3 linked regions of the Diceros bicornis minor genome follow. The protein of the gene in region 1 interacts with the protein of each later gene in a biochemical or structural test. Links are inferred from orthologs where the notes say so. Each region holds a gene or a part of one and is shown on either strand. Other genes may lie near its edges. The genes, in order: SNAP25, CPLX1 and STX3.

The links.
Region 2: the proteins of SNAP25 (region 1) and CPLX1 are reported together in a solved structure, tested with the Homo sapiens proteins (2 studies listed by BioGRID, with this or other methods). The link is inferred for Diceros bicornis minor from reciprocal best matches to the Homo sapiens genes SNAP25 and CPLX1.
Region 3: the proteins of SNAP25 (region 1) and STX3 form a complex in vitro, tested with the Homo sapiens proteins (2 studies listed by BioGRID). The link is inferred for Diceros bicornis minor from reciprocal best matches to the Homo sapiens genes SNAP25 and STX3.

The regions. Positions count from the first base shown.
Region 1 is NC_080758.1:37,757,103-37,760,848, forward strand, and holds the start of SNAP25 (synaptosomal-associated protein 25), read left to right. Parts: upstream 1-953; 5' UTR 954-1,056; intron 1,057-3,746.
Region 2 is NC_080747.1:262,062-265,807, forward strand, and holds the start of CPLX1 (complexin-1), read right to left. Parts: upstream 2,608-3,746; 5' UTR 2,526-2,607; intron 918-2,525; 5' UTR 843-917; coding exon 812-842; intron 1-811. UniProt on the Homo sapiens protein: Positively regulates a late step in exocytosis of various cytoplasmic vesicles, such as synaptic vesicles and other secretory vesicles.
Region 3 is NC_080770.1:13,470,981-13,474,726, forward strand, and holds the start of STX3 (syntaxin-3), read right to left. Parts: upstream 2,644-3,746; 5' UTR 2,502-2,643; coding exon 2,472-2,501; intron 1-2,471. UniProt on the Homo sapiens protein: Potentially involved in docking of synaptic vesicles at presynaptic active zones. Apical receptor involved in membrane fusion of apical vesicles.

The sequences.
Region 1 (3,746 bases):
CAGCCGTCCACATTCCCCCCGGAAGTCTGGACGGTTTTATAAGGCGTGTATGCGCCTCTGTGGACTATTCCTAAGAAATGCAACATAAAACCGCAGGCTCCGATTGCAAATTCAACTGAAGACAGCGTCCTCTACTTTGCCCTCCGCAAACAACTCTCAAACTCCAAGCCTTAACTCCCGCAAACCCACGCTAGTTGGGTTAACCACCCTTCCCCCCCCTCCCTCCAACTCTGATATTTCTCAGCGATAATTGCTCTGACGTAGTTTAAAATAACGTGTACCAGTCTCTCTCTCCAACTGACCACGTTAATGCGAACTGCAAGCTCTCGATGCTCCTTTGATAAAATGAAGAAATCACTCATAAAAATAGCAACCCACGTAGCCTGGCCATATATGGAGTTGGTGAGGGCTGACAGGGATGCCCCTTCGGACCCTCTTCTTTAGAAAAAATAAATTGCAGCTGAAATCCACCCCCCGCCCGGGCCTTCCCCTCCCCTTCCATGACTCAACCAAAGACTCAACTTAGCAGGGGAAAAAATTTTACATATGTAATCGCATATATATCACACATACACATATAGACACACAGACATACACATACGCACACATATACAAACAAAACAAAGAATATCAGAAAATCAGTCGCGAGATAAATGTGTTTGCCCGAGACTGGGTGTTAAAACGGAGTCATAAGAATCGTCCCGTTTGGGTGTTTGTAAAAGACTAAAATACAAAGGTTTGCAGTAAAGTGCACAGGGAGCTGACTCAAGCGCTCCGCATCTCGCGGCTCTTCCCCTCCCACCCCAAGCCTCCAGCCTCCATCCTCCCTCCGCCCTCCCCCAACACACTTCCTCTCCGCCCCTCCAGGAGATGGCTATTAAAAGCTGCTGACGTCAAAAGGGACGGCCATCTTTGATGAGGGCAGAGCTCACGTTGCATTGAAGACGAAACCTCGGGGAGGTCAGGCGCTGTCTTTCCTTCCTTCCCTGCTCGGCGGCTCCTCCACACTTGCAACCTGCAGGGGCCGGGCGAACACCACCCTCGAGAGAAGCCAAGGTAAGGAGCCCCCTCCCCAGGTCGTGTTTCTGGCTCTGGCTCTGGATGGCTGCATACCCAGAGGGGACCACAGCTGGAGAGGCCAAGTGAGCTTGGGTAAATCCAAGTATTTGTGCACCCAGGGTGCGGTATTCCATGTGTGCGCGTCTAGCTAGACTCCCGCCTGGGGCTTTATAAAGTATTTTCGAGGTGAGCTGCTTGGGGAAGGGATGAATGGGGACACTGCAGATGGAGCGATGGCGAGGAAGCGCGAGGATACGTACCGAATAACTTACTCTTTTGAAACAGTAGTGGGACTCTCTCTCTCTTCCATTTTGCGATGCAGTTTTCAGAGATGTTTAGGCTGCTGGTTTTTTTTTTTTTTCCCTCTAGACCAAAACAAACAAACCCTGTCGTTCTGACCCTATTATTATGACTGTTGTCGTTAGGGCGCTATTATCCAGGGAAGAATTAGGGAGAAGGCAGGGTACGGGCGCTGGGGAGGCGAAAGAAGGGGGAGTTCCCGGCCCGGGCAAGGTGAGCTGCAGCAGCGACAGCAGCCTCCAAGCCCCACAGACTTGATTTATGCCGCCTGCTCCACGTCAACTGCAGGCTGGCGGGAGGCGGGCGGGTCGTGCTGGGTGGGAGGGCTCTGCGGAGGGCTGGCGGGGGTTGGCTCTCCTCGGGGACTGCGGAGGCCCACACTCAGCACCCTGGACAGCAATACCGAGGGACCGCGCTGCAGCCTGCGACCTTTCAGGACCTCGGACAGCGGTCTGGCCGCGCACCGCATCTACCTACGGCAGAGATGCCTGGCCAGGGCTAGATGTTCCAGGCTTGGAGGCCAAATTGCCTGAGACCCCGGTCTTACAGAGACCCCTAATAGACCAGGCATAGTAGGTTTAAAAAAAAGAAAGAAAAAATAAATCCTGCCCACAGGGACTCCTTTGCAAGCAATTACCTGCTCCCATCCTCAGCTCCTGCATAGCTTCAAAAAATAATAGTCTACTTGTGGAAATTTGTATTGCCCTATTCCCTCTTTCAGGTAGGAAGTAAACACACTAAAAAGAAAATATGCATTCATCCTCCGGTTGGATATCAAGGGTTTTGTTTGTTTTTGTTTTTAACACAAAGTAGATCTATCTACGGATCTTGAGTGGACGTGAATGAGGTATATATGAAGATGCCAGCATGACCTGTTTATAGGAGTGATATATCTCCATATATATATTTCTATTTGATAAATATATGGGGATAGTTGAACTAAGCAGAATCAACTTTAAGAATGAACCCCTCTTCTTCTTCGTTCTCCCCCATCCTTGTAGTTAGGCATGAACACAAGCATATCCACAAAAATACATCTCTGAGAAATGTGACAGGTCATATAGGGTATAGATTTAACCTATTTGGCCATGGTTTCAGAGTGAGTGGGAGTATTTCCTATGGACATTGGTTATCCCAGGCCGATAGTTTCTGATTTTGACAACATTAAGACTGGTTTTCCTCAGGAGAATCCAACTGTGTCCTTCAAGATAACGCAGGTGAAAGGACCATGGTGTTAGACTGAAACTGGACTCTGACCTAGAGATCTACTGCAATTTCTATTACGGCACTGCAGGATTTTGCTGAGGTGGTAATAAGTACTTTAACTATTTTCTACTCTGAGGCTTGGAGCCTCTGAGAGAAAAAAAAATTGTCACAGGGATATTTCCAGCTGTTTGATATAGATAAAATTGGCATAAAATGACCAGGAGTAAAATTGTACTGTTTGAGTAGTTGTTAAATAAGGGGAACAGTGTCATATGTAAGAATATACACAATGCTTTAAAGAAAGGCTATCATGATCCCCTGAAAAGCCTCAAAATAAAATCTTGGATTGTATTTAGTTAGTCATAACTCCAGTCATTTATATACTAGAGGTACTGAAATGCCTTGTCCACAGAGAGAAGTTACTCTCATTCCCAGCTATTTATTTCCTAGTGTTTTTCATTTTTATGGATAACCATACGTTTCCATATAAGAATATATTGATGTTATTGTATATGGGTGTAAAATTATTATTCAAGAGTATGTAACTGCATGGAAGAATTTTATAACTCTGCAATCCGCAGAAGAAATAAACAACTGTGTTGTAGTGATGGTAGGAGGGGCGAAAAGATGGGTAGGAGTCTTTAAAAATGCTTTGACTTCATGCTGCATGTCCAGACATGTCTCTGCGTAGTTGCGTCAAATGAAAAAGCCTAACGCTGCCGGAATTACGTGCTTGGACATTAGTAATTACCGCTGGGCTTGTTTGCTAGTGGAACACTGGGATGGGGGTGCGGAGGTAGAGGGCTGCAGTGAAGCAAAGGGCACATATCTGGGAGGAAGTGGCAACGTGCAGAATTATGGGGCCAATTCTAGAATAGGTTGCTGAGAAATTAAAACAAAACACAATTGAAGCATGAAGCTAACATTTAAATTGTTGACAAGCTTCAGGAAAAAATCAAGAGATTTCCTATTTTAAGTTTTAAATTTTAAAAATCCAGGGCAATACGGCGAGAAGAAGCAGGAACAGATGGACATAAGGATGTGCTAGGAAACATTCATGCAGACCCTCTAATGCTACCTGCTCGTTTGGTCTTTGGCATTTTATGCATTATCACCTTGGCAGTCAGAATACAAAATAATTTATAATCTTCATAACCTTTCCATGGTAAAATCTCCCAAGA
Region 2 (3,746 bases), on another chromosome or scaffold:
CAGGGTACACAGGATAGGCCCCACGGGCCTGGCTGACCAGACTGCTCTGTCAGGACACATTCGTGCCAGTGTGGACCTCGGCCCACTGCCCCACCCACCTCCTGGGCCAGAGCCTCGGCCCACTGTGCTACACTCCCTTCCTCTCCTGGGCCAGGCTCTCTGGCCACAACGACAGCCTTGAGCCAAGTAGGCACAGGATTCCCTTCAAACAGGAGTCAGCAGGGTTGGAAGGGGGGTCCCCTTCCCGAACACACACACAAGAGGCCGCTCTTCCTCCGTGGAAAGGGCCGGTGTCACGCAAGCCTCTTCTCTTGTCCCTGTGCATGCCCCGACCCTGGGTGAAACCCACAGGGTCCTGACTGGACACCACAGGTCCAGCTCTGGCCCCACAACCCCACTCCAGCTGCTGCAGCCACCCTGCAGCCTCCCATAGCTCTGCTCACTAAAGCAAAGCCCCAGTGGGGGCCGCCGGACCTGCCCGTTAGGAATGGGCCTTGGTGCCCCTGAAAGCCACCCTGAGGTGTCTTCCCGGGCCGAGTGGGGGTGCTGCTGCTCGGCCTTTGACCCCTGCCTCAGCACCGGCTGCAGGGCTCCACCCTGACCACAGTGCTCAGCGCAGATCCTCCCCCACCCCCAAGGCTGGCCAGGCCCTGCTCTGCCCAGAGGGGCGAGCAGGTGTGTCTGCGGGGATGTGATGTGAGCAGGCGTGTGTGAAGTCTGAGGGTGACCACGTGCCACGTCCGCATGCCGCTGCAGTGTGCGGGTCCGCGACCAGGTGGGAGCAACATGCCCCACACCGCCTCCTTCCTACCTCCCAGGGCCTGCTTCATCACAAACTCCATGACGACGGCTTTGTCTCCTCAGCAGTTCTTGCGAGGGTCGGAATTCACATGCGAGTGTGGCCAGGAGTCTTCTGCCTGGAGGAAAGAAGTGGTCACAGGTCACCCTGACCCTGGGCAGGGCTTCTTACTCGTCCCCGCCCGACTTCCCCTCAGCATGGGTCAGGGGTCTGAGAGAGCATCATTCGTCGTCCCCCACACCTTGTGCCTGGACCCCAGCACTGGGAGGGTCTCCGTGCAGGGGTGCTTCCACACTATACTCTGACCAGGGTGGGCAGATCCCAGGACCCCAGCTGGACCTGCAAAGTTGTCTCACCCAGCCCCTGGGGTTTCTGAAGCCAGCTTTTGGCTGCTACTGCAGGGATGGGGGTGCTCGCAACTTGGGGGGGGGTGCAGCCTGTGTGAAGCAGGGCCAGGCCCAGGGGGCGTTTGAAGGTGACTGGATCTGCTGCCTCTTTGATGGGCCCTAGGCCAGAGGGGGCGGTCCATCCAAGGGACAGGAGAGTTAGGGTGGATGGGCCCTGAGCCAGTGCCCCTTCAGGGAGGTCCCTTCGGCTACTGATCGGGTAGTCTCGAGAGACCAAGCTCTCTCCACAGGAGGTCCCAGCGCCCGCTACCCCCTGCCCACAGCAGAGACTGGGGTGGGAAGGAGAGAGGGCAGGGGGCCCGGCCTTCAGGGAGCAAATGGAAAAGGGGGACAGACCACCCCTCCACTTGCATCTGCATGGGTGGGGCGCCCCAGGCCAGCTGGAACTCCGGTGGGGAGATGCTTCCTGTAAAATCAGCAGCTGCAGTGCCCCCCCTCGTGAGGTCTCCTCTGGCAGGGAAACCCAGGTTCTTGGAGATCCAGTGCTTTATGAATTTTTCCTCCGCAGACGCAGGAGACCTGAGTGTGTGCGGGCTGGGAAAGGGTGGCAGGCAGGGAATGCCGTACCCCACCCCCCAAAAGGCGCTGGCGCGCACGGGCGCCTTTGTCGCAAAGCAGATTTCTTCCAAACTTCTCCCCTGGCTCCTGGTGGGAGGGAACCGCAGGGCCCGCCGCAGAGAGGCCCGGGGCGCAGCTGGAGCTTCCCCAGGGCTCCTGCAGCCGCCGCACCCCTTTCTGCCAAGCGGCCCTCAGGCGGGGGCGCGCCGGGAGAAGGAGGAGAGACCGCGGACGAGGGAGGGAAGGGCGACGCGAGAGGCCGGAGACTCGGGGAAGGAGCAAGAGAGGGAGCGCGCGGGCCGGGACCGCGGGGCCGCTTCAGCACCGCGCGGTGGACAGCGCCCGCGCGGCCGAGAGCGCGCCCGCGGGGAGGGGAGGGGAGGGGGCGTCCGGGGAGGAGGGGCGTCCGGGAAGGGGAGAGGAGGGCAGGAGGGGTCTGGGGAGGAAGGGTCCCGGGAAGGGAGGGGGTGTCCAGGGGGGGAGGGGGCGTCCGGGAAGGGGAGGGGAGGGCAGGAGGGGTGTGGGGACGAAGCATCCGGGGAGGGGAGGGGGTGTGCAGGGAGGGGAGGGGAGGGGAGGCGGGGAGAGAGGAGGGGGCGTCCGGGGAGGAGGGGCGTCCGGGGAGAGGAGGGGAAGGGGCGTCCGGGGAGGAGAGGGGAGGGGAGGAGGGGTCTGGGGAGGGAGAGTCCGGAGAGGGGAGGGGGCGTCACGGGAGGAGGGGGGGGGCGTCGGGGGAGGGGAGGGGAGGGGGCGCAGGTTACCTTCTCCGGGTCGGGGCGCTGGGGTCAGCGGCGGAGCGCGCTCGGGCCGGCCGGGTCCATGTGGCGCCGGGAACTGCGGCGGCGGCTGAAGGGCACCGCGAGGAGGGCGCGTCACACGGAGCGTGACGAGGAGGGCGGGGCCGCGGCGGCTCGGGAGGGGCGGAGGGGCGGGGCCGCGCTCCCCTGCGCTCCGGAACCTGTCCCGGCCCGGTTCGGGGGATCCCGGGGCCGAGCTCTCCGGCCCGCCCAGCTGCGCAGACCCCAGACCCTGCCCCGCATCCGAGCTGCCCGTGTGGACCCGGGCGGGTCCGCTCCCAGTCGGAGTCCGGCTTCCCACCCGCTCCTGCCCGCTCGGGGCGCCTCGTGAGCGCGCGCGGGACCCGCGGGAAAGTCCCTTCCTGTCGCCGGAGCGGGCAGGGTCCGGGGTTGGGGGTGGCCGCCCCCTCCCCATTCCACCCGGGGAAGGGGTTCCCCGGCGCAGGCGGTGACACTGGCCCCGACCGCCGCCGCTCTGGGGCCTCCTCGTCCCGCTGGGCGGGAGAAGGGAGACCCCGGACTCCGGAAAACCCAGCCACTCCTGGCAGAGAGAGAGACCCGCGGCCGGCTGGACGCATTTCCCAGTGTAATAGAGTCGCCGAGCTTTATTTTAGTGGACTGGGGCCGAGAGACCCCCGCCCCTTGGAGGCCGGCAGGCCCCCGCGGGGCAGGGACGCGTGAAGGTGACTGCGGACTGAGCCGCCCTGCCTCCACCGGGCCTCCGGGATTTCCTCTGCGTCCGGAGCTGATAGGTCGCCACCGGCCTCCCATCCCGCAGCCCCTCCACCTTGCTGTCCCTGCGCGTGTGGGGCGGGGCTGCGGGAAGGGGCCGGGCTCGCAGGGGTCCCGGTCTCCCAGAGGCCTAGGGCCGGCCTTCTGGTCGGCGGGTGGACACCCTTGGTGGCCGCTGCATTAACTTGTCACTGTCCTCTCCGCCGGGTCGTCAGGACTCGCTGGGCCTGGGGGGCGGGGGCGGGCGGGTCCTGGAGCTGTCTGTGACCTTCGCCCCGCAGGGGAGCCCGCTGCTCAGGCTCCTCTGGCTTTTCCCTTCAGCCCCCCCAGGACGCTCAGCTTGAACTCCAAACTCCCCTGGCTGACCATCTCCAGGCCCGACTGTGCCCAGCAGTGGCCTGACAGGGGCCCTCAAGGGGAGGAAGGAGGAGCAGGAGAGGGCTGGAGGAGGCC
Region 3 (3,746 bases), on another chromosome or scaffold:
CTTCTCCTTGTATCCACACAGAGCAAAGCTAATCTCCTGCGCATGACAGCCCTCCAGCTATCTGGAGGTAGTTATCACCTCCCCTCCCCCAGGGTTTAGAAAGATCCCACAGAAAGAGATTGCACAGGCTGCTCAATGTAAAATCAGTTTGATGCGAGTTAACAAAAGCCTTGTTAACAAACGCCTTGCCTTTCGTTGATAAAAGGAATCAAAGAGAGAAGATAGTAATCTTGTTGTAGTGAGGGCGATCTCTCTCCTGGGGGCCAGAGGAAAGGGGCAGAAGGTGAACTAGAAACCAAAATGTATATAAACCTTAACAACAGTCTTCTTGGAAAACATTAATATTTTAATATTGCCAGGAGGGGCTTCTGAGATCAACCCAACTCTTGGTTTTGCAAAGGGGGAATAGAGAAGCAGAGAAGTAAAGTGACACAAAACAACACAGCTATTAAGTGGCAGAGCCACAATTAGAACCCTTTCAACCTGCAGCCCAGTCCTCTTTGCACAGTGTCAACACCCATCTCCCTGCTCCAAAACGCTAGAGCAGCACCCATGACTTGAGAACAGCACCCCCATAATAACAGCACCGTCTATAGTCTCACTTTCACCACATCGCCAAGAGGTGCAGGGAGGAAACAGAGCATTAGCTCAGTTTTACAGCGGGTGAATGAGGCTCGGAGAAGCAAAGGGACTGCCTGGGTTCCCTGGCAACCTGAATTTATACTTGGAACCCAAAGCTCAGAGAAGACTCTTTGCTGTTTGTTGACAATGGGCTTTTGAAAGGGGCCGTGGAGTATCCTCCTCTATGGATTTCCTAACTAAAGGAAGGGAGCCGCCTCTGCCTGCTGTTCAGTTTTGCATTGTTTTATGACTGCTGCGTGTGCTGATAAGGGAAGATCTTCAAAAGCCATGGTCCTCTTTCCTTTCTGCCTCCCCAACCAGCATGCTACAGGGAAAGAGCACCATGAAGAGTGTTAGGAGTCTGGGTTCCTCCCCTGCTTGTGACCTGACCAGCTCTGTGACCCGCAGCATCCTGCCTACCCAGGCTTAGCTCTGGTTTCCTCATCTAGAAAAATAGGGGCCATAAATTCTGCCCCGTAACCGGGATGTTGTGAGGCTCAGATGACATGTAGGAGGCAGGGAGGCTCACCCCACAATCAGCAACTGTCCCTTTGCTTCTCTCACTTCCCCATCGCCCTACTACCCAGAGCAGGTGAAAGGGTCATGAAGGTCTCGCCCAAGACGAGGGAGGAGAAAGAAAAACAATTGCGACATCATCCCAGGAGTCCCTCACACTCATATGAGGCCTGTATTTTTCCAAGGAGCTTTTACAGTTCTCAGCATAATATTTACCATCTATTCGCCCTATATGTGTCATGCACCATCCAAAGGGCTCTGCACGCTCTCTTGCTTTTAGTCCTCACAACCACGCATTGTAAAGATGAGAAAACTTAGACTCAGAGGTTAAAGGAGAGCTAGTTAGCAGTGGAGCCAGGAGGCAACCCCAGTTCTATCCAGCCCCCTGCTTCCCAAAATGCTCACGAATCACTGGGGAGATTTGTGAATAATCAGATTCTAATTCTGTAGGTCCAGACTGGGGTCTAAGCTTCTACATTTCTACCAAGCTCCCAAGTAGATGGAAGACTTTGTATCAAGAGCTAGATTTTACATTCCATTAAGACAGAGCCTGTGTCACCCAATCCCCAGGGCTTAGCACAGGGCCTGCCCCCTAGACAGCACTCAATAATTATTTGTTGAATGAGTCAATGAATATCTAACTCAAAAACTCACGTTTGACACTTTTCTATATCGAGGGTTATTATGTCATTTGATCTCATAACAAATCTCTAAGGTATGATCATCCCCATTTGACAGATAAGGAAACAGAGGCTCAAAAGAATAAGCAGCCTAAGGATTTACAGCTTTTGTGCGGCAGGGCTGGAGGCGGTCTACCTTCAGATCCTTTGCCCTATCCAGCTGTCCTGAGGATTCAGGAGAAATTAATAATTATAGACTGCCGGATGGCGAGGAGCTGCACCATCCTGGCACGTGACCAGCTCACAGCTCCGGAGGTCACCCAGGAGCTTTCCGGGGGAGAGGGCAGCCGGCTCGGGAGACAAGGAAGGAGATAGAAGGCTGGTCCTGGGCACAGTGCCAGGCTGCAGTGGGTAAGGGCTGAGGTGACCCCTGACCCCACAGAAAGCTCCGCTAGGCCCAAGCACCCCGCGCGGACCCCAGCTCTGGACAGACGCTGTCATCCAGGGAAATCGCAGCCTAGCCAGGAATCACCCGGCACACGACCCCAGAGGGGAGGGGAGGCTGCGGAACGCGCGCGGGATGCCGCTGGGGCTTGGGGAGGGCAGGCCTCGCGCTCGGCCCCGCTCCAGCGCCGATCTGGCGAAGGTAGGGAAGCCCCTCTCCCGCGCAGCTGCACCCCCGGCGGGACCCGGCCCCGGGGGCGGCGGACTCACGGCTTTCAGCTGCTCCAGCCGGTCCTTCATCCTGCTGCCCCGGCGCCCAGGTGAGCGCGTCCCAGGTGAGCGGCCGGAAGACGCAGCCGGGCCCGGCCAGGGCGAGCGAGCTGGAGGCGCAGGCAGAGGAGGGCGGCGGCCGCCGGCGAGGAGGAGCGTCCCAGGCCGCGAGAAGCTCCGCCGCGCCGCCCCCTCCGGCCCCGCCGGCGCCGCGCGCTCCGAATCCGCCTCCCGGGCCGGCGCCGGCGCGCAGCGCTGATCCGCCCGCAGACCCGCCCCTCACCTGGGCCGCGCCCCGCGCTCCTCCTTAAAGGGCCCGCGCCCCGCCGCCCTCGGCGGCCCTCCCTCCACCTCCCCTAGCCCGGGTCCCTCGAGGGACCAGAGAAATCCGCGGAGAGGGTCCGGCACTGGTAGATGCCGCCGCAGGGCCGAGGAAGAGCGAGGGGGTCTGTTTGACCTCAATTCCATCCTTTCTATTCGACAGCAATTCACTACCTGTGCCAGGCTCCGTGCTCGGATCCAGCCTCAACAGACTCATTCGTTGCTAAACAAAGAACTCTAAGACGGTGTGTTTTGTGCTATAATAGGTGGGAGAAAAAGCAACTAATTCCGCCTGGAGGAAGGGCATTCCAAGTCACGGAGTTTGAACAGTGTGGGGGACTGCATATTGGATCTGAAAGAGGACGTTCCTAGAGGAAATAACCAGAGATGAGGTGGGACGGGACGGGCTGGGACGAAGCATTTGGATTTCATCATGTTGGCAATCGGGACTCCGCAGAGAAATGCGAGCAGTTCAGTGTTGAAGTCAGAACACCTGCCAATAGCAATTTGTATAACTTTGGGAAAGGCGCTGTTTCTCTAGAGGACTCCGTTTCCATATCAATAAATCAGAGATAACACCCAATTCACAGTTTGCTGTGAGGCCTGGGTGACAGAGGAGGGGTGACTGATTCGTCACCTATAGAGCAGCGTTGTGAGATAGATGTTTGTATTGGAAAGCGTAAGCCATTCTCATTTCCTACGTGGTGTCAAGATCCCAGGTGGGTGTACCCTCTGAAAAGGTGGGCGGGTTCTTCGCACTGCCCCTCCCTGTTTATCCCCTCTCCTCTCCCCACCCCTACCCTCTCTTCCCTCTTCCTTGTTTGCCTTCCTTCTTGGGAACAAATGACATATCCAGCAGACATATGCGGCCGTCAATTCTCAAGTCAGGAAGAGAAGGTGCTCTATGCATTCAGGTCACAGGACTGTAAATATTTTCATAATTCTAACAGAACT